Struthio camelus: one gene and its partners. The protein of the gene in region 2 interacts with the protein of the main gene of each other region in a pairwise test. Links are inferred from orthologs where the notes say so. Each region holds a gene or a part of one and is shown on either strand. Other genes may lie near its edges. The genes, in order: VDR, PSMC5, PDC and THRB.

The links.
Region 1: the proteins of PSMC5 (region 2) and VDR interact in a two-hybrid assay, tested with the Homo sapiens proteins (2 studies listed by BioGRID). The link is inferred for Struthio camelus from reciprocal best matches to the Homo sapiens genes PSMC5 and VDR.
Region 3: the proteins of PSMC5 (region 2) and PDC interact in a two-hybrid assay, tested with the Homo sapiens proteins (2 studies listed by BioGRID). The link is inferred for Struthio camelus from reciprocal best matches to the Homo sapiens genes PSMC5 and PDC.
Region 4: the proteins of PSMC5 (region 2) and THRB interact in a two-hybrid assay, tested with the Homo sapiens proteins (3 studies listed by BioGRID). The link is inferred for Struthio camelus from reciprocal best matches to the Homo sapiens genes PSMC5 and THRB.

What each region holds. Positions count from the first base shown.
Region 1 is NC_090969.1:3,457,991-3,465,907, forward strand, and holds the start of VDR (vitamin D3 receptor), read right to left. Parts: upstream 3,009-7,917; 5' UTR 2,906-3,008; intron 1,852-2,905; 5' UTR 1,762-1,851; intron 1-1,761.
Region 2 is NC_090966.1:2,766,913-2,773,982, forward strand, and holds the start of PSMC5 (26S proteasome regulatory subunit 8), read left to right. Parts: upstream 1-4,056; 5' UTR 4,057-4,065; coding exon 4,066-4,263; intron 4,264-4,642; coding exon 4,643-4,714; intron 4,715-5,209; coding exon 5,210-5,279; intron 5,280-5,698; coding exon 5,699-5,796; intron 5,797-6,165; coding exon 6,166-6,222; intron 6,223-6,379; coding exon 6,380-6,610; intron 6,611-7,070. Other genes in the region: pre-rRNA 2'-O-ribose RNA methyltransferase FTSJ3, read right to left, coding at 1-18, 203-307, 1,127-1,242, 1,338-1,532, 1,705-1,804, 2,050-2,129, 2,345-2,391, 3,107-3,212 and 1 more.
Region 3 is NC_090949.1:3,413,610-3,421,608, reverse strand, and holds the start of PDC (phosducin), read right to left. Parts: upstream 3,010-7,999; coding exon 2,949-3,009; intron 759-2,948; coding exon 598-758; intron 509-597; exon of another isoform or gene 1-508. UniProt on the Homo sapiens protein: May participate in the regulation of visual phototransduction or in the integration of photoreceptor metabolism. Inhibits the transcriptional activation activity of the cone-rod homeobox CRX.
Region 4 is NC_090943.1:44,272,530-44,279,688, forward strand, and holds the start of THRB (thyroid hormone receptor beta), read right to left. Parts: upstream 3,019-7,159; 5' UTR 3,004-3,018; coding exon 2,676-3,003; intron 1-2,675.

The DNA of each region.
Region 1 (7,917 bases), on a different chromosome or scaffold from region 2:
CCTGCACCAGGCTCTCGTGCCACAGCCCTGCAGCTGGTAGACATGCTGCCAGAGAAGCATCCAGACTCAGGCTCCCTTGTATTGCACAACTAGAAGAAAAACATGTGTTGAAGCTCAGCTGACCAATTCCACCCTTCACCATCATGATCAGACATTGCACAGAAGAAATAGACCCATTTACAACCTCTTTTAAGTCTGATTATTTCTCTTCCACTGACTTGACACTTCAGCAATTCCCCTTTGAAAGCCACAGGAAGTTTGGGCCAGATTGACTTCACTTTGGCCCAGCAATAGCAGGTTAAAAATTATTCCTGAGTGCACCTCTAACCAGAGGGAAGATTAGCCACTTTTCCAAAGTCAGCTATTAAATGAAAACAAAAAAGTTAGATTACCCAGCTATTTTGTCTTAAGTACACTGGGATTAAAGCAAAAAACAGTTAGTGAAAAAGCTAACTGACCCAAGGCAAATTCTTGGCCAATGAAAAAATCTATTATTGTTTCATGCCTTTGTTATTTGAAATCCTGCTGCAAGATCTCACACCTGATCTGTTTACAGACAAGCATGATCTCAGGCAGACATCTGACTATGCCTCCTGCACCCAATGGTCCTTCCTTCATTTTCAGGGTACTGGATCCCCTGGAGGGACAGTCATCTGCCCAATACACAGCTGACAGTACAGCTTGCAAAATTACCAAACCTCAGCCTACCACAGCCTGGCTTATTTGACCAAGATGCTCACCTGGGACATCATCACCAGGTACAGATTGCACTGCCACATCAGGTGCTCGCACTGCAGAGAGCACTTTGATTACAAGTGAGGACCCAGACTTTGCTGTCCCGCTCTGGGCTGCAAGGAGCAGCAGACTGAGACACATGCAAAATCCTATTGAATTGAGGACAGTCACTTGATAAGGGACAAGCAGAGAAGCAAGACACTGGCATGCCACAACACCAAACAGGTTTCCAGCATGGTTTTAAAAAGAAGCACTTGTTCTGCTTGTTGCCCTGATAAAGCTCCTAATACATCCAGAGAAACCTAGCTCCCATTTAAGTACTCTTAAACCAGATACATCCAGAAATCACAGCACAGCCAACAGCTACAAACCCAGACCGATTTAAACTCAGTAACCAGCTGCACTGGAGAAGTAAGAAAAAGTTTTATATTAGTGAGTAGTTATAACCTAACCTCCTTCCCCACTGGAGCAGGCAAGTTAAATATTCTTTATCCTCCCTACCCATGCAGGGGCACCCACAACACTAACCCAGCCAGGCCAGCTCACCCTCGCTCCCCGGTAGACAGAGGAAGCACTGACAGGGTCTGCAGACCAAGACCAGAGCTGAATGCTGAGCAGATGTCTCCCTTTGGGAGGAGACACACATTGCCCCAAAATCATTGGTGCTCCTTTAACCAAGTCCTCAGAGGAAGATGAGTCACTGCCCAGCTCGTGTGGGAGGAGAGCACACCATGAAATGCTGCAAACCCAGGGCTGACTTCTCATGAAAACCAGTTTCTGAAGAAACTTTTAATGCTGAAGACTCCAGCCCCAGCCTTTATCAGCCGGTTCAGAGCTTGAACAAGGGGAAAAGAGGAAGACACAGCTCACTATAGGGAACCGTCACCTCTACCTGTCCTAAGCCAGCCACTCAATACCCCCCAGGTCCCTCTGGGGGCTCATTCTTGACCCAGGGGTGTCCTGCTCAGTCTAGGGAAAGACACCCCTTCTTCCTCTGTGTAGGAGAAGTGGAAAGATCCCCAGTACCTTCGCTTTCTCTTTGCGCTGGGAAGATGAGGGATTTTAGCAGTCACATCCGACACAATGTAGATGGCTCAGCAACAGCCAAAAAAGCCCCTGGGGAAGCAGGTAGAGAGAACAAACGAGCACAGTTACTGCCACAGCTGGATTTCAGCCTGGCATTGGACATCTCCCTCCACACCTCCAACACATAACTGGGAGTGTGGCTTTAAGATACGCTTTAAAGCTGATCATTAATTAGCAACTTACCTGAGTCAGAGACCAGCCTGTTGATAAGGGACAGGCTGGAAACCCTAAAGCACAGCTTAAGCACCCCCAATCCCAATGCCTCCATGGGCCTGTGCCCCCTGCAACAGCACCCAGATAAGTCACAGGCATCACAGATTCAGAGACCTCAGGGGCTGGACAGGGGAGAGCAGGCAAGGGTCACATCCCACCACAGGGACCCCAGACTGACTGGCAACAGCTCACAAGGGGCTTGGGGAAAGGGTCACACAGTCACCCCCCCAATTCTCCCCCCCCAAAGAGGGGGGACAGACCTGAGACAGGGCAGCACTAGGGGACCTCCCCAGCCCCAGAGCCACCCTCCAACACACAGCAGGGGCAGGAGCATGGAGGGGACCCCTCCCACAGCTAGGGGAACCCCATTTTCAGAGAGGAAAGTCCTTGAGACCCTCTTTGAAGGGGGAGCTGAGGGGAGACACTGCAGCCCCCCCCACATAGTGCCTCTGAATTGCAGCAGGGGGCACAGAGGCCCCCCCATACATTTACAGGGCCATCAACCTCAGGGAGGCAGGGAGTATAGGAGGGACAAATAAAAACAAGACCTGCAACCCAGGGGGGCATAAAGGGTCCAAAGGGCCCCCCCAAAACACTCACCTGCCCCCCAGGATGTGGAGGGCCACAGGGAGCAACCCCACACTCCTCCTCCCTCCATAGGGGGCAATTGGGTCCCCCCCCCCCACATCCTCGGGCAGGGGGCTTCCCATAGACATGCCCCCCTCCCCAGCCCCACGAGCACCAGAGGCCCCCTCAACCCACACCCCGGCGGGCACCGGGGTCCCCCACCTTCCCCAGGGGCCAGTCCGCGACAGGCAGCGGGAACAGTTTTCCCCCCCAGCCCCGGCGCCCCCAGCCCGGGCCCCGGTACCTGCGCTCCCGGGCGGCACCACCACCCCCTCCTTCCCCCACCGCCCCGGAGCCGCCTTTTGACGGGAACCGGCTGGCTCCGCGCCCCGCCCCCTCGCAGGGGCCCCGCCCACGGACCCGCCCCCTCCCGCCGTCTCGCCAATGCCAGTGCGGCGCCGCCCTGGCCACGCCCCCGAAGGAGCCGGCTTGCTTAAGCCCCTCCCACCGATGCCTTATAGGGCCCGGGCCGTGCCGAGCCCCGCCCTCTAGGGGCGGGGCGCGGGCTGGCGGGAGATCGCACGTGGGTGCGTGTCCTGCGGGAGGGTCCCAGGCCGGGCGGGACCCCCCAGCCCAGCGCGGTCCCTGCTACGAGCCCAGCGGCCCTGCGCTCCGCCAGCAGCTTCTGGGGTACTCGGCGGGGCTTTTGGGGTACAGCTTTTTGGCACGCCCCACAGCCGCCCCCTCACCCCTCCTTCCTAGAAGCTGCACGTCAAGGAGTGACCCACCCCAGGGCCACCACCGGAGACCTTCTTCACCCCCCCCCCCACCCAAGACAGGGCCTAATGAAGTAGAGCAGTGATTAATAAAAACGAACAGCACCTCTAGCACCTTCCAGAGAGCCAGGCTTCCTGGCCTGTGGATGGTCCCTCACAGGGACAGGGACAAATACTGCTGGTGTCCTCCCCAGCAGGCTCTGGCAAACTGTTTCCCTGTAACATGGGGTCCTGCGGGGTCTTGAGCATGTTTGGGTGTCTGTGCCGTATTTCTCATTTGCTGTGGTGCCTCCTGTGAGTCCAGGTGTTACACAGCTCTGTCCCTGGAGCTGGCAGCGGTTCAGAGGCTGCTTTCCTTATGAATTTCTAAGTAACAAGCCACTATGCACCAGGAGCACTCACCGAATTTGTCACGTAGCAAACTAACCCCATCTTGCTTACGCCACTGCAGTATGTGCAGGGCTCCTCTTCCTCTCCTGTTTTCAGAAGGACATCCAAGAGCCCTGCCACCATGCACTGCAAATCCTTTATCTGAGAACAGCTTTGAGAGCGCTCATGTATTTTTCTGATGCTTAGATCAGATTAATGGGAGAAGGAGAGCTGATTCATCTTCTGCCTCCAGACTAGAGACTGCTAGTTAGTCTCTGCTTACATCCTAGGCACAGCTCCAAGAGCTAGAAAAGCATATGGTCAAGGGTGGGCAGGTTCCTGGCAGAGACATGACTCTCTGCAGCCTGCAGCCCTGAGCGTGGCTAGCCCCGTGGCACCCCTGGTGTGCCCCTGAGGCAGTGGCTTCACGGGAGCCTGCTGCAAAGGCCTCGCTGCTGGCTCAGTGCACAGACGACCCTGGACACACCGAGGGGATGGGAAGGGGCCTGGGGGACAGGGTCCCACAGGACGCCTGGTTTTGGCTGTCACTGCAGGACACTGGGATCTGGCATTTGCTCTCTAGGCGCTGCTGCAGCACGGGACAGTGACAGAGGCTCCCTGCCATCCCTCCAGCCGGCCCGAGTCCCAGCTGACACGGACTACCACCCGCGAGCAGCTGGCTGAACGGAGCGGGGTTTGCTGCCGTCCCTCCTCCCAGCCAGGTCACGAGCATGGACCTCGGACAGCCAAAATCACATTACTGGCGACGTGAGTCAAACCAGAGCGTGGTGGTTTGGGTCGAGCAGGTTCGGCTGGTGTTGCAGCCCCAACCCAAAGCCGCTCGATTGCCTGGACACATCACACCCCAGGTCTGAAAACACTCAGGCTGTTTGACGGTTCCTCACTTCCCGTCCTTAGAAACGTGTCGCTGAGTGCAGACAGGAATCAGCAACGCTTTACAAAGGAGGGAGAAAGTAAGCTTCAAGTAAGCCCCTACTGTGATGTTCCCAAAGTTTATTACATGTCCTCTTAACTCAAAAACCTGGGAAAAAACGAGCCCCTGATGCACAGTGGGGGAACGAACCTCTCAGGGAGAGAGACAGCGAGGGCGGCCGAGCCAGCGTCACAGCAGACAGCAATCACCGCTCCTGAACCATAATCAGCAAGTTCAACTGCTTTAATTTGCCTGGGGAAAACGTTTTGCTAAACGCTTTTAAATTGATTTAATGAGGCCAATCAGAGAAAAAAAAAAATATCTAGGAGGAAATGGGAGTTCGTTAAAGACAGTTCGGCAGAACTTTGCGAGAGGAGAGGGGAGAGGCTGCGGGCAGGCAGGACTTTGTGCTGGAGTGGCTGAGGAGTGCTGCATGTGCCCCGTCCCGTCACCTTGCCATGGGCGCACTGGCTTGCACGGGAGAGGTGGGGCCAAGCGCTTTAAACCACCGCAGCCATTTGCAAGGTTAAATTGTGTCTTAAGCCTTAATGCAGCAGATTACCCATGGACCTCAACTTGTCTGTAGCAGTGCAACGCGCTCCTCAACCCAATAAAAGAGCTCAGCTGCCAAACCCTGCTGTTCTTGTGTACGTGGACCAGTTGGTGCCTGAAGCTATGAGGAAGGTTTCAAACTGATGAGAGTTTTAATTTGCACCCTCGGTTGTGACCTGTGCTGGCTTACAGCTATTATCTGGCTCTTCCCTCGAACTCAGGCTGCTCTGCCACTGCCTCTGCTGTGCTCACACATGGAAATACAGGGCTGGATCTTATGCAGGTCGTTGGCCAGCAGCTCTCACCGGCCATGTGCCTTCTTGCCTCGATCCGCTTGCCCATCGTGTCCCGTTGCTCTGGGGCTCCAGGATAGTCATGCTTAAGAGTACCACCACTTTCCCTCCACATACATGGGGAAAAGCAAGCCCTGCTGCGGGGAGAACCGTGCGGAGAGCCGTGCAACCGAGCTGCAAAATCCCTCCCACGCTGGTCCAAAAGGATGCGCAGAGACGTACGCGAGGTCTAAAATCTTGCATTGGTACAATGCGAGCAAAGCAAACAGCAAATGCTCATAGCATGGGCCAGCAGTATTAATGCTACTAAATGCTCAGAGAACAGGCCCCTCCATGCCCAGGTGCTTTGCAAGCCGGCATAGAGCGGTTTTACCAACCAACGGGTTTGTGCGCCTGGGTTTGCTTGCTTGTTTACCCCGATTTCTTGCAGGCTGACAACATTAAAGAGTTTCAGCTCTCATCTTGCTCAGTCTTTACTGGGAAACGCCAGGGTTAATGGAGAGAAATGATGGCTCAGCAGCTGGTGCATGGCTTCATGAAAGGGAGGAATCGAAGCCCTCCTCTGCCACAAGCTTCCTGTTTGGCCTCAGACAAGTCATTTAACCTCGCTGTGATTCAGTTTGCCCTTCCAGGACTTAGCTGTAAAAGTCCCTAAAGTTGAAGCTGTTTGCATTAAAAGGCATGCTGCCGGGCTAGAGAAAGGTGGTGGCAGGGTTATTCCCACCTTTACGTGATGGCACGCTGCCCCTCTGCTCCAGCAGTGCTGCTGCGTCGGGGCGGGGGGGGTTGTGCTGGGACCTGCATCAGCTCCCTTCAAAACAGTAAATTAAACCAGGGGCATCGCAGCCTGGGACAGGAGCAACAAGGTGTTCAGAGGGGGAAAGAGATGAGGGGAGAGGGGGAAAATCCTCCTCAGCTGCTCCTCCTGCTGCGTGGTCCAGCCCCGGCCAGGGGGACGGCGCAGGGGAAAACATTCCTTTCCTCGCGAAACAAATCGGGAAAAAGCGACGCCTCCGAAAACACAACTAATGGGAACCACTTTGCAGCTGGGAGCTAATGGGAGTAATAGGGCTGGTTATGTGGGTGGGAGAGTGCTCCCGGGAGACGCTCGGCTCGGCAGCGACTGCACGGTCGCCACCGCTCCCTTTGCCGAAACCCGGAGCGCGGGACTGTCTGGGACAGCTGGGTCCCTGAGCACCTCCCCGGGAGCAACTCCCCCCCCCCACCCAATCCCTGCTTCTCGCAGCAGCATAAGTGCAGGATCCTCTGGCTTTCTCTTGGGGTGACTCAAACGCTCGATTCATCCTCCATGCAGCGAAGGCTTCTCAGGAAGTCATTGCAAAATCCTGCCAGCGTGACGATGGCTCCAGCGGCTGGGTCGGCTGGGGGATCAAGGAGGAGGGTTTGGCACCCTCTGGGGATTCTCCGGTGTCTACTGTGGGGTTGAGCTCACCCCGGGGCTTGGTGCCGGCTCTCCTCTGCCTGTGCAGGTCCATCCATATAGGCGGTTTTGGGTGGCAGCCTGATCCTGCATCTGCCCCTTCTACCTCCTGCCCTGTAGGGTCCTGAGGGCCAGCACCCTGCACCTTCGCTCCAGCCTGCAGAGAGCTGGTCCCTGGCTATCCCCCAGCTCAGTTCGGGAGTGATCGGAGATGCACAGCCATCCATCATTGACAGTTACGGGCAGGCAATTAGCATCTCGCGAACGGCAAGCCAGGAAAACTCCATCATGCTGGCATTTTGCTCCTGGGAAGGAGAGAATAAATGATCCATAAAGTTTCCACCAGCGGCAGAAGTTGGCAGCAAGGAGAGCAGATACAAAGCAAGTCCCCGGTGCTCAGGAGGCATCTGTCTCCTGAGCATGCAAGGTTACTGGGAATATTTTCTTGCAATAAACTTTGTTTTTATGGTTTTGGTTAAGCAGCTGTAGATTATGAGGGGAAGGAATTCAGTTTTCCACCAAGATCTCACGTTTACAGCACCAGAATAACGACAGTTTGCATGGGACGTTGTTGATTCGCAGCACCGCTGGGTTTATAAATGTCAGCTGGCCAGTTTGGGGGGCCGCTCTGCGTTAGTTGGTCCTCACATTACCCGGGGGCAAAGCGCAGGCTGGGGAGATCCACATCCAGGCTCATCCTGTAGCCCAGCCTGATCCCACATGCCTAAAGTCACAAGCCCCTAAACCCAGGACTCAAACTGACCATTTTGTCTCCTTTTTCAGAGCTATCGGACTGAGGGCAACGGGAGGGAAGGAGTTTTGACTCCTTTTCCCTGCAAACTGGAGCTTCAGAAATTTCCCAGGTGCTCCGTAGCATCATGGTGCGTCTCTGGGCATCCCCAGGACATGGTGCTGCTCGTCCTTGGGGGACCGCTTTGGTCAAGGACGCCA
Region 2 (7,070 bases):
ACCATCCCCTAGCGTGATCTGGACGCAGCAGAGAAAAAGGGCTGCCACTCCCAAGCCACAGCCCCTGCCCTGCCTCCCTTTCCTCTGCACTAGCAGGGCTGGGAGCTACTGCTGGGGCAGCCAGCTGCCTTCTTTCGCTGCTCCGTGCTCCTGACGACCAGGCTCTGTGGCCACCAAGGTTTCTCTGGCCTCAGACACTCACCTCATTGGCCTTGGAGAGAAAGTCCACGGGGTTGGGAGCCTTGAGGAAGTCCATCAGGGTGAAGCGACGGTACAGAGTCGTGTCACCATCTGCATAACCTTCTGCCTACAGAAGAAGGGAGCCTTATGAGCCAGGCAGCTTCAACCATCCCCAAAAGTCAAATAATTTGCATCTACCTGCAGCATCCACCTAAACGTGCCCAAGTGACACAGGGACAAGGACAGGTTATGAGCCCTTACCACCTGCTGAGTAACAGGCCCAGCTCTAGGATGTCTCCTCCAGCCTCGACCTAACCTCAGGTGCAGAAAGGAGTTGGTGAGAGAGGCTTGTGAAGCTCCACTCCCAGTTGAAGTTGCCTGACACAACCACTGGTGTCCTGTGCCCCAAAGACATCTCACGGAGACATAAGCCCCATAGCCAACTACTGCACGGAATATGTAATACTGATCTATTCCCACCCAGGCTCATGGCTTGTTCACAGCTCCCCCACCTTCAACAGCAGTGAACCTCTCCATCATCCCTTCCAACCCCTGGTATCCTGGGATCTCTCGTTTTCCTAGACAGCTCTCCTGATTAAACATTTTTAATATTTAATGTTTGGCTCTGCTGCGCAGCAAAGCAAGTCGGCCAGATGCCCAACACCCTCTTCTCTCCTGCAGCTTTTCAGCTGCTCATGAGCTCCCAGAAGCCATCTCCTCCTTCTCCTCACAGACTTTGTCTAACTGCTGTCCCCCCAGGAGTTTTCCCTGCCAATCTGTCCCGTGAGGGAGCTGAACCCAGAAAGGCAGGTGGTTCCTCAAGACAAGTAGAGTAGGGAAAAGGGCTCCACAGAGCCAGACCCTCCCTCAGGCTATGGCTGTTCCCTTGAGTCCGTTCTTTGCTGAGGGACACTTAGTCTACCCCAGGAACGCACCATCCTCATACCTTTGGTTTCTTCTTGCTCAGCAGCTCACTCACGGACTTGGTCTGAACCTCCACCTCCTTGAAGGCATATTTCGGGTCAAAGAACTTGCTGTCAATTTTATCTGGAGCCTGATAACCTGTGATGTGGGAATTGGAGAGTTCAGCAGGTTTCTCCCTGCCCTATCCCAGTGCACCAAGCTGCCAACAGCTGCAAGTATCCTCAGCTGCTCACCCTGGCACACCACGAAGATCTCAGCGGACTCATTGCGGGAGGCTTGGGGCTTGGTGGCTTGGACCTTGCGGAAGAACTGCTGGAAGATCCAGAGGAGAGGCTGGTAGTCCCGGGAGCGAAAAACCTTGGTGATGAACCAGCCGCCTTTGCAGAGAAATTCGCAGGCGAGTTTCAGGGCCATAAGAGTCAGGTTGGCTGAAGAGGGAGAAAGCAGCAGTCAACAGAGTTGTCAACTCCCCATCACCTAGCTCCTTGCTCCGCAACATGTGCCACCATCCACTGTGCCCTGCTGGGGCATGAGACGCACCCGCCCTTGCAACCCCTGGCAACTGCCCTAGGCCACACAGCAGCCCCGCGAGGGCCCTACCTTGGGAGTAAGCGTCGTGCACCCAGCTGGCCCCCACGTTGGGTGCTCCATCATTCAGCACCACGTCCACCTTCCATGTCTGCAGCTCCTTGCGCAGGGCCTGAGGGTCAGAAGTGCATGTTAGTCCTGCTAATCCCTGTCATTCTGCACAAGCCAGCAGGTAGCATCTCCAGTCCCCAAAAGCCCACGTTTCCACCTGCCTGCCAACCCAGACAGTCCGTTCAGCTGCCTGCCCCAGTCCTACCCCCAAAATGAGCCCTGACTAAGCAGCTAGGGTGACCTCCAGCCCAGACAGACCTGCTGAGTCCCAGATCAAGAGATGACACTTAGCAGGGTGGTTTTTACCTGGCGACACTTCTCAGTGGTGATGTCCTCCTGCAGCGTCACCACGTTGGGAATGGGTTTGATAGGGACCAAGTCCACCCCTGGTATAAGGAAGAGATGTCAACGTCGAAATTTTCCCCCCAACCTGGGTTCCAGCCTGGCTTCCCAGCTCACCCCTTCCGTGTACCAGGGCCCCCAAAGCACCCCATCCCTCAAGTCAGATCCAGGGACTGCGGAGGTGGTCCCTGCCCCAAGTCTCCCCTACGACATCCTTGACCACCCCTGCTCCAGCTCAGTGCAGGGTCCCACAACTCACCAATGATCAAGCTGGAAACAGGCATGAATTTGGAAGCCACCTGTAACCTGCAGAGAGCAGAGAGGGTAAAAGCTACGGCAGGATCCCATGAGAACCACCAACCTTGAATCATGCTGCCTAAGGCTTGGGATCTGCCTTGGGATCTGCGACAGGGAACAAGACGAACTGCCTAGGCAGGAAGTATAAAAGCCAGTTCGCTACAAGGTCCCAGCTATCCAAATCACCAGACTCCTACCTTCTTTGTGAAAGCCTTTTTCACAGGCACCCTTGAGTCAGGAATAGGTTAGCTATCCAGATAGAATAACTTGGATAGCCCCCATCTTGCCATGCGGGGGAGCCACAAAGGCTTAGGGCTACTCAACTAACAGCACACACAAATAAAATGATCACTAAAGAGTACTTCAGTCTGCACTACTTAAACACAGCCCAGACACTGAGCCTCCTGCAAGTAGATGCCTGTTGGCTTATGGCTCAGAGCCCGTGGCAGTAGGGGGCATTTCAGCGGCTTCAACAAGAAGTAATCATGTTTCTCATCAATTCCCCCAAAGCAACAAGGTATCTGGGGCAGGTGGAGCACGTATAACTCCAGCTGCAGCTTGTGCAGACCAGCTTTCAAACCGGAGCCAAACGAGCGTGTTCCTCTGGGCTCTGGCTAGTCTGGCTCACCCATGCACCTCCAGGAGGGAGGCCCATGGGGTAGCCAGGCCTGGTGTGGGGCAGCTGGAGATGTTGGGCCATGGCTCCGGGCCTGGCGACACTCACCACCCACCAGGGGCTGCACATAGGTCCAGCAGTGCCCGGGCCTTTTGCAAGAATTGGAACTTCCTATTGAGCTGGAGAAGTTTGAAGGAGGAGCGGGAGCGAAAGCCTGCAGAAAGAAGAGTGAGGGGTTACAGATTACTGGGAGTTATGGGTTTGCTCCTCTCCTCCCGACAGCGCGCAGGCTCCACTTACCCGTCTCCTTGGCCAGGTGGTAGAACTTGTCCCGCCGACTCTTGCCTACTTTGCTCTTCTTGCCCATGGTGGCGTCAGGCCGGGACCCCGGTGGGGCTGGGAGCTACGGTCACCTCTGCGCACGGACCTGCGGGGAGGCTAACGGGCTGAGCTCGGGGCGGCAGGGCCAGGAGGACCGACCCGGTGTCCCCCCACGGCCCCTGGCGCCCGCTGGCCCTGGGGTGCCCACACCTACCCCGGCCCGATGTCCGCCAACCCGGTGCCCCCCTCCCCTCCCAAGGGCCTACCCCGGCCCTGGAGCCCCTCAGCGCCTTCTCCGGCCCCGCTGCCCGCCCGGCTCCCCGGCCCCGCCGACCTACCGCGGCCTCGGGGTCTCCTCCCCGTCCTGGTGCCCCCCCGGCCTGCTCCGGTGCCCCCTTCCGCCGCCCAGTCCCCACACCGCCGCGCTCCCGCGTGCGCGCCCCACCGCCTCGGGCTGCCACTAGCGAGTGACTTCCGCTTCCGGTCGCCCTTCGCCACCATCTTGGGAATGTTGTCTCAGCACCAAGTCCCCGCTGCGAGCGGCAAGACAGGACGCCGCACGCAGGGAAAGGGGGAGGGAGAACAGACCTTCTAGGAGGCGCGTTTTCAGCCTACTCACCACCCTCTAGTGTTTCGTGACACAGAGGAATAACGTTTGACCTTACCAAGATGGCGACAAAAGCAGCGTGCTTGCGGGGCCATTTCTGCGCACGCGCATTCTCCACGCCGCCAGCACTCGAGTGCGCATGCGCTCTCACATCCTTCGGGATTGGAGCAATCTGTTTGTTACTGTGTTGTTGGGGGAGGGAGGAAGTGACGCCAGCACGCTCCTCGCGCGGGGGGGGGCCAGCGGAAGGGACGCCGCAGCCATCTTTAGTGCAGGCAGCGGTGGTGCCGGTGTCCCGATGCCGGCGGAGAAGATGGCGGTGGACGGGCCCGAGCAGGTGAGGCTGGAGCCGGGCCGAGTCGGGGGCTGTTGGCGGCCGGGGGTGCCCGGGCCACGCTGCTTTGCCATGCTGAGAACGGGCGGGGGCCTGGCGGTCGCTGTGACTCGGCGGAACTCGTCTCAGCCTTGGCGCGGAGGCAGACCGGGGCCTGGGGCAGCGAAGGGCATGAGGGGAAGCGAGGGATCCACGGATCCCTGGGCGAACGGGGACTCTGGGGGCTGGCGTTGGGGACAGGTCCGGGGAGGTGCGCGGGGGAGCCCGGACTCCGAGGGCTGCTGGGGGCTGACCCGGAGGTAGAGGTGGATTGCGGGGCCCTGGGGGAAACGGGAGGCCTGCGGGGCCGGACCCCGTCTCACTGAGTCCCGTTCTCTCACAGATGGAGATGGATGATGGGAAGGGTGGCACGGGACTCCGACAGTACTACCTGTCCAAGATCGAGGAGCTGCAGGTGAGCCATCCCCAGCTGTGCAGCCACCCGGCCTGCTCTGGGCAGGTGTCTCTGTGGTTCCAGCCAAGGGTGCCTATCTCTGTCTCCAGGCCTACCCTCAGGCTAAGAACATCTGCAGTGCTTTGTAGGCCTTTTTTTGCTGCCGGTGCCCTGTCCTGGGGTGCAAGGAGGAGGCACTTGTGAGGACGGTGTCTACAGGCAGGGCCATCAGTCCAGCCTTTGGGCGATGCGGGCATCCACGATGTGTTTCTGTCCTACCCAGTGTCATCGCTGCTTTGTGTGTATGAGATATTGCCTAATCCTTGGTAATGGAACCTGGCTGGTCACGTCCTGTTTGGAAAGGCTGTGCTGTCCTAGGTGCTTGTCCCAGGATGAAAGCTGCTCCTGCCTGTTCTGCTGCAGCTCAGCTAGTGCCTGTTGCACGCACTTGGTGTGCAGTTAGTTTGAATGTTGTATGGGATTCTGAAGTCTTAGCTAAGCTTTCTTTTTACCTAGCTCATCGTCAATGAGAAGAGCCAGAACCTGCGGCGTTTGCAAGCTCAAAGAAACGAGTTGAATGCCAAAGGTACAGCTCTTTTCATTTTTCTCATCCTGATCTCCTGCAGTGATGTGGCCACTCCTAGTTGCTGGGCTGATGACTTGGGACCCAGCTATGGGCCAGCATGGCTAGTGCTGTTGTTGGGAAGATCCAGCTCCTGCCAGGCAGGAACATGTGCTCTGAGTTTCATAAATCCTCTAGATGTTTTGTTTTTGAGGGTTTTTTTTTTCTTTGCTGTTGTAGTTAAGGGAAGGTGGGTACCCTTGGTTCCAGCTGAGTCCCTTTCCTGAGCAGGACTCTGCACTGATCCCCAAGATGTCCCCGAAGGGCTGCGTGGGGTGTGTGTGCCACCTCCATTGGGGGCCGGGTGTCCTCTCACTGCACTGGGAGCTGATGCCTGTAGCTGGGCAGAACGGCGCTGCTGATGTCTCCCTCCCTCTTCACAGTGCGCCTGCTGCGAGAGGAGCTGCAGTTGCTGCAGGAGCAGGGCTCCTACGTGGGGGAGGTGGTGAGAGCCATGGACAAGAAGAAAGTGCTCGTCAAGGTACAGAGCTGGGGTGAGCGGGTTGGAGAAGGACAGAGTCTTTCCTCATCCTTGCACAAGGAGAGGGTTGGAGGGCAGATGTGATAGCACAAGTTCTGGGAGGGATGTGACAAGGAAGAAATGTGAAGCGAGAGCTGTATCTAGAGGAGCACCTTGTAGCACCTCTCGTGAGCCCCAACCTTCCCCAAGCAGGTGGGAAGCACCTGGCTCAGGGGTTACTGGGGGCAGGTGGAGCTGCAAGGTTTGTGTTGGTGGCTGAGCTGCCTGGCTCCTCCTTCCCCCTCTGAGAAGCCAGTATGGGTACTGGACACACGACTGGGGACGTTTCAGGTAGAGAAATAACTCATGGTGGCAACTGCCATGTTTCAGGTGCACCCGGAAGGGAAGTTTGTGGTGGATGTCGACAAGAACATTGACATTAATGATGTGAGTGTGGGGATGTCCTGGGGGCCGTGGGTGGGAGGGGAAGGAGATTGCTCCCCTTGGGGTGGCCTCGTGCTGCCTGCTGCATTCCTCAGCCTGGGGTGGCTCAGAAGGGCTGTATCAGGGCCAGGTGCTAAGTTCCCCTCTGATCTTGGCGTAGGTGACCCCAAACTGCCGCGTGGCCCTGCGCAATGACAGCTACACACTGCACAAGATCCTGCCCAACAAAGTGGACCCTCTTGTGTCCCTGATGATGGTGGAAAAGGTCCCGGATTCCACTTACGAGATGATCGGAGGTTTGGACAAGCAGATAAAGGAGATCAAGGAAGTAATCGAGCTGCCAGTCAAACACCCAGAGCTCTTTGAGGCCCTGGGGATTGCCCAGCCTAAGGCAAGTGCTGTCCACCTGGGCCTGGTGTGATTAGGGGCTGCTGGTGACCACAAGGGGATGAGCACCCTGGGGTGCTGCTGTGGCTGCTGCTGCAGTGGCACTGCAATGCTGCGATCCTGCCCCTCGCTGCCCAGGGTTGCTGTGCATCACCTGCTCCTTTTTGTTGAGGTTGTTTGGGCTAGTGGGAAGGAGAGGTAGCTCTGGGGTCTCGTAGCTTCTCGGGTGCTGCGTTCCACTTTGTGAAGGAGAGAAGGGATGTGGGACAGTAAGTGCTGCTGCCCTGGTGAGGATATTTGCTCTCCCTGTCTGTGGCTCTACCTTGGGGGCAGAGGAGAGGGGGCTTTCCTGTCCCAGGATCACCTTCAGAGGCCCCTGGACTGGAGCTTTCCCCCAGCTTGCATGCATGGTGGCAGGGAGCTCTGCCCAAATGCAAAGGGCCTGGTGGCACTAGCTGCTAGAA
Region 3 (7,999 bases), on a different chromosome or scaffold from region 2:
GGGGTCAGGATTTAATTCCCCCCCCCACACCCCACCCCCACTATCACTGTTTTCGCAATTACTCAGTTACCGTGGCAGTGAGTACCCTTTCAGAGCTCTATCCTGACTAGCAAGTTTTTAAGCCTATAAAAAAAACTTTCAACTGTCTTAACCAAGGATAGAGCATTGGGGAGAAAAGGCCAAACTCTCAGTATTGTGTGATATATTTCTATGACATACACTGCTTATTTTACAGAAGTTGGACTCTACCTGAGAGAGGCCTAGATAGTACTGTGTCTTTTAGGTCAGATGTCGCTATTCTTGTGGCAAGCAATTCTTTGTTCTTTGAGTATCGTCCTAGTCTTCAATGACAGCACTTATGCAGCCACATGCTACTTAGTGGGAGTAATATAATCTGCACCCAAGAGGTTGTTTTGTTATATTTATGATACAAATCCGAAGTAAGGCTACTGTCAATAGTGCTGATTTATTTTATCCATATTATGAGAGTTCTGCTCAGTTGCAAAGGAACCGAGCCTGGTAAATTCAGGATTTTCTAGGTTATATAACTGTTTCATATAGAATCAAAATAAATGTGTTTTGCTTTTCTCCTCTTACCTTACGGCAGAATCTCTCTCTGGTATCTTTATCGTCTTTACTGAAAGATCTGTGTGGTGAAGACATTTGTCTAAGAATTTCTTTCTTGCTCAAGGATAAGGAGTCTCCATCTTCACTTTCTAATTTGAACTTTCTCCAGTCATTGATCACACCTTTGGGCCCTAAGAGAGACAAGTTAGATGAGAAACTGGCTGCAACAAGAAGCAGTCTTAAGAAGTTTCTGCCCTTCACTTGTCCTTTTGTGCCACAACTTATCCATCCCCATTTGCTCTCGGGGCATGCTCCAGGAGTGCTGAAAACCAAAGCATAAACTCTTTTTTTCTTTCTTTTGGAGGCTTGTTTCTGACCTCAGTCACTTTGGTACTCTGGTTCATATCATGATAGTATAAAAGAATTTTGGTGAACGGCACAAGGGGTTAACAAGGATGAGGGCCTGGAAACTTGTTAAAACAGGCCTCATGGCCGCAACCAGTGTTTCTCACAAATATATTTGTGGCTCCCTACGGACCATGGCTTTCAATACGTACCACACATAAGAACTTCACATTCATAGTAAAATTAAGAATACAGGACGTGAAGATTTGGGGTTTTTTGTTTATTTTTAACCCATATCTGTTCCACTGAAGGACTAATCTGTAAGGCATTGCTTATTGATGATTCTGACTATAATGCCAATCTCACTCTTCAGAGCTGGTTAGCTAAGCAGTTTTTACGGTTCAAAATGGCAATGGTATTCTTCAGAATCAAATATTTTGATCTATACCTTTGATAAAGCAAAAACATGGAGAACTTTGTTTTCAGAGGTGAAGTTTCATTTTAAGGAAAATTCAGAAAAGGCTAGGTAAGAAGATCTTTGCTTTACAGAATCACAAAATGGCAGAGGTTGGAAGGCACCTCTGGAGGTTTTCTAGTCCAACCCTCCTGCTCAAGCAGGGCCACCTGGAGCACACTGCGCAGGATCATGTCTAGGTGGGCTTTGAATATCTCCGGAGAACGAGACTCCACAACCTCTCTGGGCAACCTGTTCCAGTTACTGTTCACAGGAAAGAAGTTTTTCCTCATATTCAGATGGAACTTCCTGTGCTTCAGTTTGTGCCCGTTGCCTCTTGTCCTGTCACTGGGCGCCGCAGAGAAGAGTCTGGCCTCATCCTCTTGACACCCTCCTTTCAGATACCTATACACATTGATCAGATTCCCCCTCAGTCTTCTCTCCTCCAGGCTGAACAGGCCCAGCTCTCTCAGCCTTTCCTCAGAGGAGAGATGCTTCAGTCCCCTCATCATCTTTGTAGCCCTCTGCTGGACTTGCTCCAGGAGCTCCATGTCTCTCTTGCACTGGGGAGCCCAGGACTGAACAAGGAGAGAAAAACTGAAATGAGAGAAGTGTTGTGTCTTCATGAGGTAGTGTTGCCAGTTGCTAAGAGTCTATTGTGCATTAAATTTCAACGTGTTATAGTGATGGCTAAAGGCGAGGTACCTGACACCACACCCCTAGGGGGAAATGTTAGGTGAACGGAACCCTTGCAAGCAAGAGTCCAAGACAGGAATTAGCATGAAACCTTGGCGTGGTGATAACAGTTAAGTGCTCAGTAGCCTAGTTTTCAGGACTGTTCAGAAACCTAAGTGTGCACGTAGTGCCTTGCATTTGGGTCCCTAGAAAAATATCTTAACTGACAGTAGCAGGACTGGTCTGGGAAAGAACCCCAAGAACGGCTATTACAGGAGCTGAATTTGTTATGATGCAAGGAAAAGGAGCCTTCAGAGCCCAGAGAGGCAATGGATGGTGGTCTCAACACGTGTACTACTTACCCCTTGGCAGGATAGGATGAGGTAGTCTGTAGAACAAAGTACAATGATACTCATAAATCATGGTGATTGAGTCTCGACTGAAAAGAATTGTGACTCTGAGCAAGGGTGCTTTTAAAGATTTTTAGATTCTGTGCAGCATTTGTCAGAAGGCTATGTAGCTGCGTTTTGAACATTCCTTCTGTAAGAAGGAAAAAAATAATTCAGCCTTTATAGTGTGTTAGTGGGTTCCACTAGAAGGAACAAAGTTGTTTGTGTCTGAAGCAAAAAGCCAACAAGATTTGCACTGGGCAATTGCTGTTGGTGCTCTCTTCAGGTGTCTTCTGCATTTGCCATTTGCTTCAGGCGCAAGGAAGGTTGCTACAAAGATCATTTTGGTGTTACCTGCCCTTACATGAGGCATGTCAATTAGTCAGAAATATGTTCTCATTGGCTTTGGAGCGTACTTCTCTGTGCAAGGAGCTTGGCATCTCAGTGAATGTACTTGACTTCTGCAGTTTAGCTTATATTTAGGATGGGGGAGGGCAGAAAGTAATCGATTTCCTTGCCTGTGTGTGTAGCCTGTCCTTCAAAATCTTCTTCCAAACTGGCGTTTCTGTTTTCTTCCATTTTGGCGACTGGAGTGGGAGATGCTGCAAGTCCAAAAAGGAAAACAGTAGCAGAATGAAAAGGTACAAGCTTACAGCTAGGTACAGTGCAGTGTGTAATTTCCTGCAGCTGTTAGGTATCAGCGCTGGTAAAAAATCTAAATTGTAATTGTAGAGCTACTCATTGCCTCGTAAAAAACTATTAGGATCAGTCTGTTATTAAAGGTGTCTGGCCAAATTCTCACTGAAAGTGTCTGGCTGAGGATATCTTCATTTTATTGTTTGTTCTCAGTCATGGAGAATATTGACAGCTTATTTTGGGATAGTGCTAGTAAAACTTTCTGCAATGGTAATGTGCAGTGATTATTTTCACTCTCCCTGCCTCCCCTCCCTCCTCCCCCCCCTCCAAAAATCAGGAACTGATGACTTTTCCAAGTCCTGTAAGTGTGTTTATTTTTATGGATTGCCTGAATTGCTCATTTCTTGTACAGAGGATGAAGCCAAGTATTTGTACCTGTGAGATCAGAGGCCTCTAAACATCTTGGAGCTACACAGCTTTTACTGAACAAAGTTACAAAACAGAAGAAATTACAGGGAGTATAAATCTCATTCCTGTTCCACCAGTTGTATCCCCAAGAGCCAGACAGTAGTCACAGAGCACTGGGGTACAGCAGTGCTCTAGCAATCCCCCTTTTCTGTCTTCCAGTAGAGCTTCTGAGGAGCAAAGCAGGACCATTCCCCTTAAAGGGAAGAAGAAAGGTTTCTCCTCTGTAAGAAGAGTTCTCCAGATAAGCGGAGCTGGGCAGTGCCAGAGCATTGAGCTCTCAAACTCAGCTGGTCTAGCTGATGTTCTGCTGTTTCCTGAAAGTCACTGTAAATGTTTTGAGGGTTCTGCAGCTTTTATGAGCAGATCAATTATCTGTTTCAGAAAGATATACTGGGGGTGGGGAGGGAGTACTAGTTCTTCAAATGTATTTTTGCTCTACTGCTGACAGACAGGTTCATATCTCTCTGCGTGTGAGCTCTGCCACAACATATTCCTGAATCTCTTCTCATGTTACACCTTAGTCAGAAGTTTCCTTTTTAGTCAAAAATTGTCATTCCAATGTGATAAAGTGCCACTCTTCAAAGTGTCTGCCTTAAGACTCCTGTGGAGAGAGTGCTCCCATTTAGTTTTAGCAGTTCAGCTGTTAAAGTAGGCTTTGCAATAGATCCTATCTTGAAGCAATTATTAACATGTTATGTAATGAATGCCAGATCTAAAACCTGATAGTAAGTTAGACTTCAGTGACATTTATTTTGTAGAATGTATGTACAAGAGAAAGTGGCACGTTCACCTGCTGGACTGCTACTTACACGTCAGGATCAAGGGGGAAAGTGGAATAATGGCTGAGCAAGATGCAAGTAACCCAATTCTTGTGTATATTGGAAAAGCTAATTAGTAAATGTGAGAATTCTGCAGAAAGATTTGTGGTAAGTAATCGACTTGTAGGCAGTATTTTGAATTAGTTTGGAAGAAAAGCAGATAATGAAAAATAGAACTACTACTAATAAAATCTATCTGTTGAGCTGCACTTCTATCCAGTTCAGTGTGAGATCCTGCTGTATTCAGTCAATTCTGAAATAGATTAAGCTAATCCCGTCTCACATATGCAAAACTGAATCTGTGATGTTAGTGATGGACTGCTATGCAGACCTGCTGGGTCAAAGCCCTGTGAGTCATTCTCATGACTTATATTAATATATATCTATAAAATATTCTACAGACAGTTGATGCTGAGAATTTTCTTTGTTCTGCGAGGGCAAAAAAAAAAAAAAGAGGGTTTAATTCTCTGTATGTATGCTTTGCTCTTCTATAGCTTTTAGCCCTGAAATGCAGTAAAAGGAAACAGGATATGAAAAGGAGCAATTAAGCAGCCTGTTGCAGGCTTGAGCCGGAGAACGCTGACCACATTTTAGGTGGAAAGTTAGAGGTGGAAACTGATTGCGTAACAAATGAAAGCTCTCTCTAAAATACACGTTACTGGTCTCATGTACCTAATGAATCTCAAAAGATTAGCTGAATCATAATAACACAGCAAATTGCGTTCCCCCACTATTCTAAAGTGTGGCGTGAGGCAATAATCCTTACAATAGAGAGACTGGTAAGCTGACCGTAGAGCTGGGAGTGGGGAACTCCTAAAATCTAATCCGGACCCTTCTACTGACTCAGGCTGTGCAAGTCACGCAAATCTTACTCCTTTCAATAGAGGTATAAATATTTACAGTTCTTAACTTGGCACTGTAAGAATCAGGCTGTCCGAGCCAGCCAGGTGTTTCCCAGTTAGGCAGCTGAGGACAAGGGCTTATGAACATGTAACTGCAAGGTGAGCCGTGGGAAGCTCAGTTGCAGCATGAGCTGGCTGTTCTAGAGTGTGTGTCTTTCCTTTGAAGAAAGCACAGCAGAAAAGGTGTAAGTAGAAAAGGTGTAGTGTGAGTACAAGCACAAGGGCAGTCATGAGGGTAAGAATATCTCATACATCTGAAGTAAGCGAGGGATTGAGGTGTGTGGGTGGTTTATTTTTTAACAAGATGCTGGGCATATAGCAGTTTCCCAAGAAAAAGCTAGGTTCCTAAGATGTGGGGAGATGTGGGTGCTGCCAGCTTTGGAGCATGCTGTGGAAGTGCCTCCACATGGATACGTGCCTAACCATTAACTTGTACAAAGTTTTAAAAGTACACATAGTACTAAGGCACTAAAGCAAATCAGGTAAAGCAGCTATTTGTAACAACCCATTGCAAGGTTATCAATCATTCCTGTTGGTGCATTGAAATTGGGAGTACCCAAGGGTCAGCACAGCTAAAGCCATCTTCTATGCAAGACAGCTGCTCGCTTAAGAGCGAGCTGCACTCTGCAACCACATGGGCAGACCGCATGGCGTCCCTGTTTGCACTCCCAGCTGCAAGTGGATCCTAACTGACTGGCTGCGCTGTCCTTCAGAAATGCGTTGTTTGAGGTCATCTGTAGTAGAACCCCCTTAAACCTGAGTCAACCCAGTGGCCTGGTGGATTGCTGAGGTTAAGAGGTGGCAGGAGTTAGCTGCATGTATGTGTCACCTGAGGAGATGGTGCAGGTGAGGAATATATTGTTTGGGAAGGCCCATTCCTTCTCTTGTTGCTATTTGGTGCTCCTGTGCACAGTGGCACAGCTTCTATTACACTTTCTCGAGCTTGCTTCACAACAGTGCCATTCTCCAGGCTTTCCAATGATGATGTAGTGATCTCTTTTGATCAGAACCTGCACGTGCATTTCCCAGCGTAGTTTCCTTGTGGGAAATAAGGGATATGATCACTCTCACTTTAGATTCCTATCTCTAGTAAGCCAACAGAATTATCTAGCTTCTCTGCTTTCACGTTTCCCATTTTTGGGTCACAGTGACCCCAGACTCTCTTAGGAATCCAGGAGTTGCCATGTTACAGCCCACTGAATTTGGTATCCTGTGTTTGATGGAGACTGCTGTGAAAGGCATCAAAGCAAAGTATGAGGAAAGCTTTATCTGTTTCTGTTACATAGAGATTGGCTTGCATGCTGGAGAATATGCATTCATGGCCATTGCAACCAACTCTTATAAAGTCCTTACTGATTTACATCCGAATTTTTTTCATGTAAATATGCAGTCTTGGCATTCTGCTAGGTCCTTGCTTTGTGTGAGAGTACAAGGTGAGAGACGGACAGTACAGCCTGGAATGGTACGCAAGTAAAACAGCAGCCTAGGATGATGTGCAGTGGTAGCAAGACTATAGTCAATGTCATTATTTTTCATGAACATCAAAGCTATTGGTTGTCAAGTAATTCTAAGCAGTTACCAATAGACCTTTTCGGACACCAGCTTCTTTGCTACTTATCTACATTTTTCCTTTGCAACTTTTTAACAGCAGATGACATGCCAGACAAACAAAAATGTTTGTGAAAAGAAATTGCTCATTTAGGAGATATCATTAATTTTTATCACTGTTTTTGTCAACTGAAAACTGTTCCCTGCCCTCTTTTTATCTGAAAAGTATTAATGAAGGGAAAACCATTTCCTGACCAGTTCTGTTCATTGGTTTATTTAGAGCATGATTTGTAATGCGTATGGTGACTTCAAGTCTATATTTTGAGACGGATAATTCTATGTTACTTATTTCTTCTTATTATTACCTATTTATTATTGGGCTTCATAACTTCCTGTGTCCTTAAATCCCCTTCTATAAGACAAAACCCCTCCGAACCCTAAGCGTTAGCTTGAAGATACCATTTAGCGTCTATGAACTTTGGATCTGTTGTATTCCAGAACAGCCATTCATATGACTGATGCACGTCCTTCTGTTGTGATTAGACCAGATAGGCCAATTTCACTACAGTGTAGAAAAGACCGTTTAATAAAATGTTTGCTTATCCTTCCTACTTACTAAAAAATATTTTGTGCCTTTGGCCTCGTAGAATAGTTTTGTTTCCCAAAGTTGCGAATGTTTTTACTATTTTCTCTTTTGCATAGTGAATTTTTGAGGTAGTTCAGGAAGAAAGCACTGTACTTCTTTACTTCTAATGATGACTTATTCAGCTTTAATGCTCTTAATGTTGTTGTAAATACAAAAATAGTGTCTTCTAGTTATAATTACGGAAGGGAGGGAAACAAAAAAAATTTTAAAGGAAAGTACGTTTTTGTAAAGGACAAAACAAATAAAAATTGTTGCTAGCACAACAATAAGTAAACATGAGAAATATTTTCTGGAAGTGTAAACAAACTCTAGATGCGAGTTTGCTGCTCTCCATATGTGCAAATCCCACTGGAAATGCTGTTCTGTGCCTGGGTTTACATAAGGCTATAAACCAGCAACATGCTGCTAATCCCCAGGAATCAGTGCGAAATAGCCTATAAAGTATGAAATTTAGGCAACTTTTGGCAATGGAAGAATGAAAAGTAAACAGCGTCTCACGAGGATCTTCGTCAGCGAGACATGATTGCACGTTTCTGTTTCAAGCTACATGT
Region 4 (7,159 bases), on a different chromosome or scaffold from region 2:
TCCAGAGCTATTTCTTTAATAAAATAGTAAGCTCTTGTAGGAATGTTGTGCTCCTACCTGTTAATAATGTATAGTACAGCACAGAACATACAGAACAACAAGATGCCAAACTAAAACCACACTTCCATGCCTGCTTTTCTGGAGCATAGTTTTTTCCCTTAATATTCAAATCTTTCATCAAAATTTGTAACTGAAAATCAGGAAATAATAGTTTTAAATGTACAGTGATATCTGGAGTAGCTTAAGTGTTTTCTTGTAGTTTTGGAACATCTGGCTATACTTTCTAAGTACTGATTTTTTTCCCTTTAGCAACACTCACGTTGTCTGAGTCTTTCATTCTCATTATTTCCTTAATTCTCTCAAAGTGACATATAGATACAGAAGTAATTAAACTCCCCTTCGTAAACATTAGCTTTTCTCAGCATATAAAACAATGTTTTTATCTTCCTGGAGGGGAAACTAAAGAAGATTTTGATCCCTTTAAAACTAGCAGAAGTTTTGACATGAAGAACCTCCCTGTGTTACGGTAAAGTACAATCTGATTTGAACAGCATGAATGGTATTGAGATTATCACAAGTTTCAGGGGACTAATAGAAATACCAACTGCAACAATCAAGACTCCTCATGGACACCTGCTCAGGGACTTAATTTTGCTTTAATGGGCTATTACCAAGGCTTCTCTAACAAACTCCCTCTTCCCCCCCCCCCAAATCAATTCTGGATCAATACAGGCACACATGCCCTGTATAGAGCCTTCTGTTCTTGGGACGGGATTAAAAGATTCGTTAGTTTTATGATAGCTTGGGTAAAAGATGGAAATTAAAAAGAAAAAAAAAGAAAGAGAAGATGCACATGTCCCACACTGTTTAGATTTATTCTGCTTAACAAAGTCAGCATTTGCAAAGGTTTGACAGAAGGGACGCAACTCTTTATGGATTATCACAGTAATGACGGCTGTAAAGAAGCCGAAGGAACTTTGCTCAGTCTCTGTGGATGATCAGTTAAAAGTGTGCTCGAGTGACTGCTCCCAAGAAAATTCTCTGCAAATTTTAAGTGAAACTGAGGTAGATGAAAAACATGAGCAGGCAAACAATTTTTAAAAATAACTCTGTATTCTTTCAACAAGCAAGTAGAAAAACTGTAAACAGAGCATTAAATGTATCAGATGTCTGAATACTGGAATAACTCATTTAAAGCTCTGACCTAAGTACAGCAATTATCATTTAAAATCCTTTCGCATTATGAAATATATATTCCTTCACTGACTTCGCAATAGCAAGTCTCCATCTTCTTGAAGTTAATCCTGTGTAGCAGTTTTTGACCAAAATGACACATGGGAAAAGTCTATGAAGAGTTATAAATTTATTGATTAAAATCCAATAGTATAAAATTAGCCTAAAGAAGACTTTAGAATGCTACAAAATACAAAAAAAGCACATTATGCACAACTACATTTAGTCTACAATTTGATCATGTTCTCTACAGCTTCCTAGAGCAGGATTATTTTTCTGATAGTCCCTTTATTATGAATACTGCTCAAAGTACAAGATTAAGATACTTTCTACTGAACATACAGTTTTATTGCACCAGGTGCTAATGAGCGTTTCCTTCACAAGGGAAAATATTTCAGTTTTCTATGTTGTTAATATGATTAAACAGGCTACTTTTGACTACAAAGGCACTTTAAAAAAAGTAAATGGTGTCGTTCTCTGTCTAGCTAGTTAAATCAGATTCATTTTGTTTCTGAGTAACTGCATACAGGAAATTTGGTCTTAAGAGAAAAAGGATATTATATTGGTACAACAGACTGTGTATTTTTGTTCTTTATTCAAGTGACTTTAAGGGAATACACTTTTATGGAGAACACATACTCTACATGTGCCAGTTTGATTGTCTGGCTTCAGAACAAGTAACACTGAGAACATTTTCCAGTGGTGGTTAGTATTTTTTTGAGAAGTGATACCTGCTTTGCTTACTTGAAAGCAAAAGAAGAAATTCTGAAAACAAGCAGTGATCTAATCCTAAGGGAACAGATACCACTCTCTGATTATCTCTCACAAACATACTGATTAGATCAACTTTTTGGATGGAGAAGAGTCTTTACTGCAGAGCTATATTCTCGACTGTCCTATCTTTTTGGCTTTGCATAATCAGAAACGACACGGTTTTCATTTACAAGACAGCAACTCTATTAAATGTAATCATTTTCCCATACATACTTGCAGTTCTATTTTCAACATATTTTGCCTGAAACTGAGTTATTCAGTAAAGAGAATTCACATTTAGTGATAATGAGGACTCACACAGACTGTTTGTGTGGAAGCAGAAAACAGATTTAAGCTGAAGAATATTTACTGACGACATTTCAGAAGAGAAACTTTCTTATCTAGCTCACTGATGTTCAGTAAATGGACTTAATAGCCACAAAAAGCAGAAAACAAGCAATATATTTGCAAACGTCCTTTACAAATTAAGAAAAAGTGCTTGGAAATCCTCATCGTTCACAGAAAAGCTTACAATCACCTAGCAACCTATGTTACTGCTGCTTTCAATTTTGAACAGGCAGCCTTCACATTCAAAGATGTATCTGAGCCAAGTGATGCAACTGTAAGTTTAAAGCAAAACAAAAACAAAAACACAGATTTTTTTTGGTATTTAAATAAATTGCCCCTACCTTTCTTCTGAGAGTACGATGGCGACTGCACTTGAGAAAAAGTAGGTTTTTCTTCGGTGAAATATTCAGGTTGGTTGTACTGATTCAGGGCCATGTCCATGTCAGAGTACTCGCTTTTAAACACGTTTCCAGGGTAACTACAGGTATAAGGCTGATTCACCGCCCAGGCCTGTTCCATATATATGTTGTTACCGTGCAGGACCTGAGCATCACAACTGCTGTAACCCTGATTATCCTCGATATATGTGCAATAATCAGTGGACTGCATGTAGCAATTGCTCCCAGCAGCTGGGTGCACTTCATAGATTTCTTGCATACAGTAGTTCATTTTGTTACCCTATCTCGGCTCCTACTTTACGGGCGCACACACACACACACTCGCACACACACGCACACACACACAGGCATGCATACACATGGAACGGGAAAGGAGCAATGAATATACAACACCAACAAAGTCGACTGCAAAACAGCCCGTTTCACTTTGGAGCAGCACCTGATGTGCTAAAATCCTATTTATATTGGCATGGCTTGTGAACTCCCCTGCCAGTCAAACATATTGGGAAGCAGATTTATGACAGTCAAAGGTCTTAATCTGTGACTGTAAGTTAATTCCAAGGGAAGATGGCAGGCAGGCAGCAATGGCCACCAGACAAAGGAGCGGCGTCCCGACAACCCTCCTGTTCCACTGTTTGTCCGCAATAATCGTTTTATAAACCGTTTCTAGCCTTTTGCAATATGATTAGAAAATGATTATTAAGGCGAGGACACAGTTATGTCACTGTAGTTGTCAACTTAAGTGTGAAGCATTATGAAGACTGCTTAAGAACTCCCAGAGGGGATACGCTGAAAATCCTAAAATCAATAATCCTGTTTTTCAGCATTAAACCACAGAAAATCCAATAGCACTGTGTTGATGACCCAAACAGTAGTCTAGTTTTACAAAATTTAGCAACTTAATCTGTCATCAGCTTTATTGATTTTGTTTTACAGAATTACATGCATGAATCTCCCCAGCCTTCCACACATATACAATCCTCCCTACTGCCTCTTAATGCATTTACCGGAAAGCAGCTTTTTTAAAGTTCAGTGATTTGGGGAGATAATTTCTATTTAGTTCAACAGGTGGGAAACTTCAAAATGACTTGATTTAATCAGCAAAAAGGACACTGCTTAAATATTACCAGCAAACTAATTGTTTTGCTATTTTGTTTCATGATCTTTTATGTTTCAGTAACAAAGAACTTTTAAAAAAAGTATCCTTTGCATCAACAACCTGAGCACAGCCAGGAGGTTTTCTTGCTCAGTTTGGCTCTCGTATGAGCTATGTACATTTCAATGCCATTAAAATAAAATACTATATGATCTTATAACTGCTTTACACACTCCAAACATCAGTGTGGTTAATATATCATATTTGATCGCCCATTCTTTTTTATTTAAAAGGATTTTTTAATATTATAATAGCTGCCTTGCTTTTACTAGCTAAAATATGTTTTCTTTGCAGCACAGCATAAATAGGGTAAAACTCCTGTGAAATCAGTAACAAAATGGTATCTCTCTTTAATGTCTGTTCTTATTATTAGGAAGCAGAATTACTGATTTAATAATGAGGTCTTAATTTTGTTCTTTCACTCATTTTAAACAACACTCGAGATGACAGACTGCCAAAACTACCTGTATGTTGGCCCCTTTTCTTCTTGGCTTTTAAGTATACCTCTAGCAACCTAGCTGAACGTAAACTCCAATGGTCCTCAAAATTCTGTGAAACTCATAAGACTCAGCATTTAACATGCACATATTTCTCCCGAGCTGGTATTATCAAATGCTTCAGACTAATATAAAGAGCCCGTAAATTAGTGTTCTCTCTTTTTCTAACGCACAACCATAACTAACCTTTTTAAATAATGAGCACTGGCAATTAGCATCTAACATATAGGCTAAGAGATCACAGGGTAACTGCTTCTGAGGACTGGAAGTTAAATTTTACTCTTGGATTATTTTTATTTTGGTTTCCTAACTGTAAAAGAAGCATCTTTAAAACCAACTCTTACTACCTTGCCTCACCAAATAATAATGCATTTGGTAAGTCAAAATGATCTCCATCGAGACCAATTTTACTAAACTCAATGAAGTTACTTCCAGAATGAAGTTATTGCGGTAACACTCTTGCAATTTAAAGTAACAACTTACTTCATTAAGAGCAGTAAGTATTTACTGAAATCCCAGAAGTGAAACACAAATGAACCTTCATTCTCAGTGTTGTTTTTACCGAAGACCTAACTCAACAAAATAGCATTGTGAAATATATTGTGATAACGCACACATCGAAAATTAATTTTCATTTCAGTTCAAGTCTATGATCTAGATTTTCCAAACAGTGATTTTGTCTGAGATAAAAAAGCATGTCTTAGGCAAGATCTGATTTTTCAAGAATGGCTGCAGCGCTTCATAAAAATCATGCCCCTGTCTCAAGGTAAGTAAGTGCTCAGTTACTGAGAACCTTTATAAGTATGGTGATTTGCTTGTGCACTGCATTTTTTATCATCAGCTACACTTACTCATATATTCAGAGACAAAAAAGCCTATTTTCTTTTACTTTCCAGGAGAAAAAAAATCTTCTATTAAAAAACATCATAACAAACTGAAAACAAATGTCAGAAAGTATTAACTAAGATCTGCCAGAAATGCTTTTAGAAAGAGAGAAGTGCATTCTCTGTTTAAGATTTGTAATGAGTTCACAAATATTTTAAATTAATGTCACGCTTTTATCACAGTTTCCTGCTGTGAGAATAAGATCTGAACTGACATAGATTTCCTAAGAAACTTTGCAATGCTCGTTTACACAGAACCCCCCAAAACCTACCTGTTTATGTGACTGGTTGGTAATGCTAGTACATACAAATGTAATGTCGACACAATCGTAACCTGCCGAGCTTAATTCTCCATACTCCCCAGAAAGAAAACATTCTACAGGTAGGGTAAGTGGACTTTCCGTTTACCGCAGAACGATCTCCACCGCAGCTAACAGGAATTTATGTGCGAGCTTGCATACAGGCGAGGCTGTATTTCACAGGTTAGCCCAGCAGAACAGCCAGGTACTCTTACCAGAGGGTGATCTAGTCCCAGAAATTTGTCTTTCACTTAGCAGGTCACAATTGCCTAGCACATTGCAGTTTTTATTTTGTTTAGGACCCCTTTTTATTGAAGAATAAAAAGGAATAGATGACCTCGAGGCAAAATTGCTAGTTTGGTCTACGTCAGTCTCCAGGGTGACACCAGTGCTGGAGAGGCAACTGCGAGGAATGGGAGGACTCCAAATGCACCACGGTAGCTGTACCCTGGGGTCAATTTTTGAGAGGACTGACTCGGTAACTCGGTGACAAAGACATGACATCGCCCATTTGACGAAGAACATCCTCCAGACTAATGGAGCCCCGCGCCAGGGAAGAGGAAGAGAAATAAGCGGAGCCACGGAGAGCCAGGCTGCCGCGCAGCTCGGCGGCAGCCGCGTTGTCCTGGTGTCCGCGGGGGGCTGCCCTGCCCGCGTGGAGCCCGAGGCTCGCTGGGGACCGGCAGAATAGGCTGCTTTCCGAGCGAGAGCTTATAATGAGAACGGACCCGAACCTCGCAAAAGGCCACCTCTATCGGCCACAGCCCTTCCCTGCGCAGCACGGAGCCGCCTCAGAAAGTGCCCGACCGCCCTTCGACTGCCGGGTGGTTGACACCACCCAAAAAAGCTTTTGGGAACCAAGCTGGAAATTTTCACCAGGTCCTTTTCACCTTGTGGATTTGTTTTGCCAGATGAGGCAAATTTCCTAAGAATTTTCTCTCCTCTGGTTCTTCTTCCCACTTACTTGACTTAGTTTCGTTATCCAAAAACTAAAAAGAATTGAGGATGTACGTAGACAGAGCAGTCGCAGGCAGCATGGTGCCTGGCGGAGATGGTATCATGATACGGGACTGCATGTGAATTCTTTTCGGTTCTAAGATCAACTCCTCAAACATTGTTTGTTTTCTAATGCTATGTCAATAACACTTAGAAACGTGTCGTATGTACTACTTTTCTCCGAATTACTGCAATGGTATCAGGAAATTACATTACAAGAAACTGAGGAGAATGAGAAAGTAAAGTGGATGAGAGTCTTTTCCGGCAAAAAATGAATGATAAACACTGCCAGGCAATGAGGTTTCCTCACCTGGAACATCCAAGAGGTTTATAGCACTGCAGATTGTTGCTCCCTTGGAAACAAATCAGTTCCAAAAACACTGCAAAGATTTAGTATCATTATTAAAACTGAAATATTCCTGGAGTATTTTCAGTTGAACCTCTGAGGGTCCTCTTCCTGTATCACTTTGCATTAAATCATCTGGTAAAAGACAGTCAGATGGGGTCTTCACCTAAAGTCCAAAAGTGGACTAGAAAATAGTGCATACAATTGTTGTTTCAGTCTTGTATTCTGACTTGAATACTGGAGTCTTTC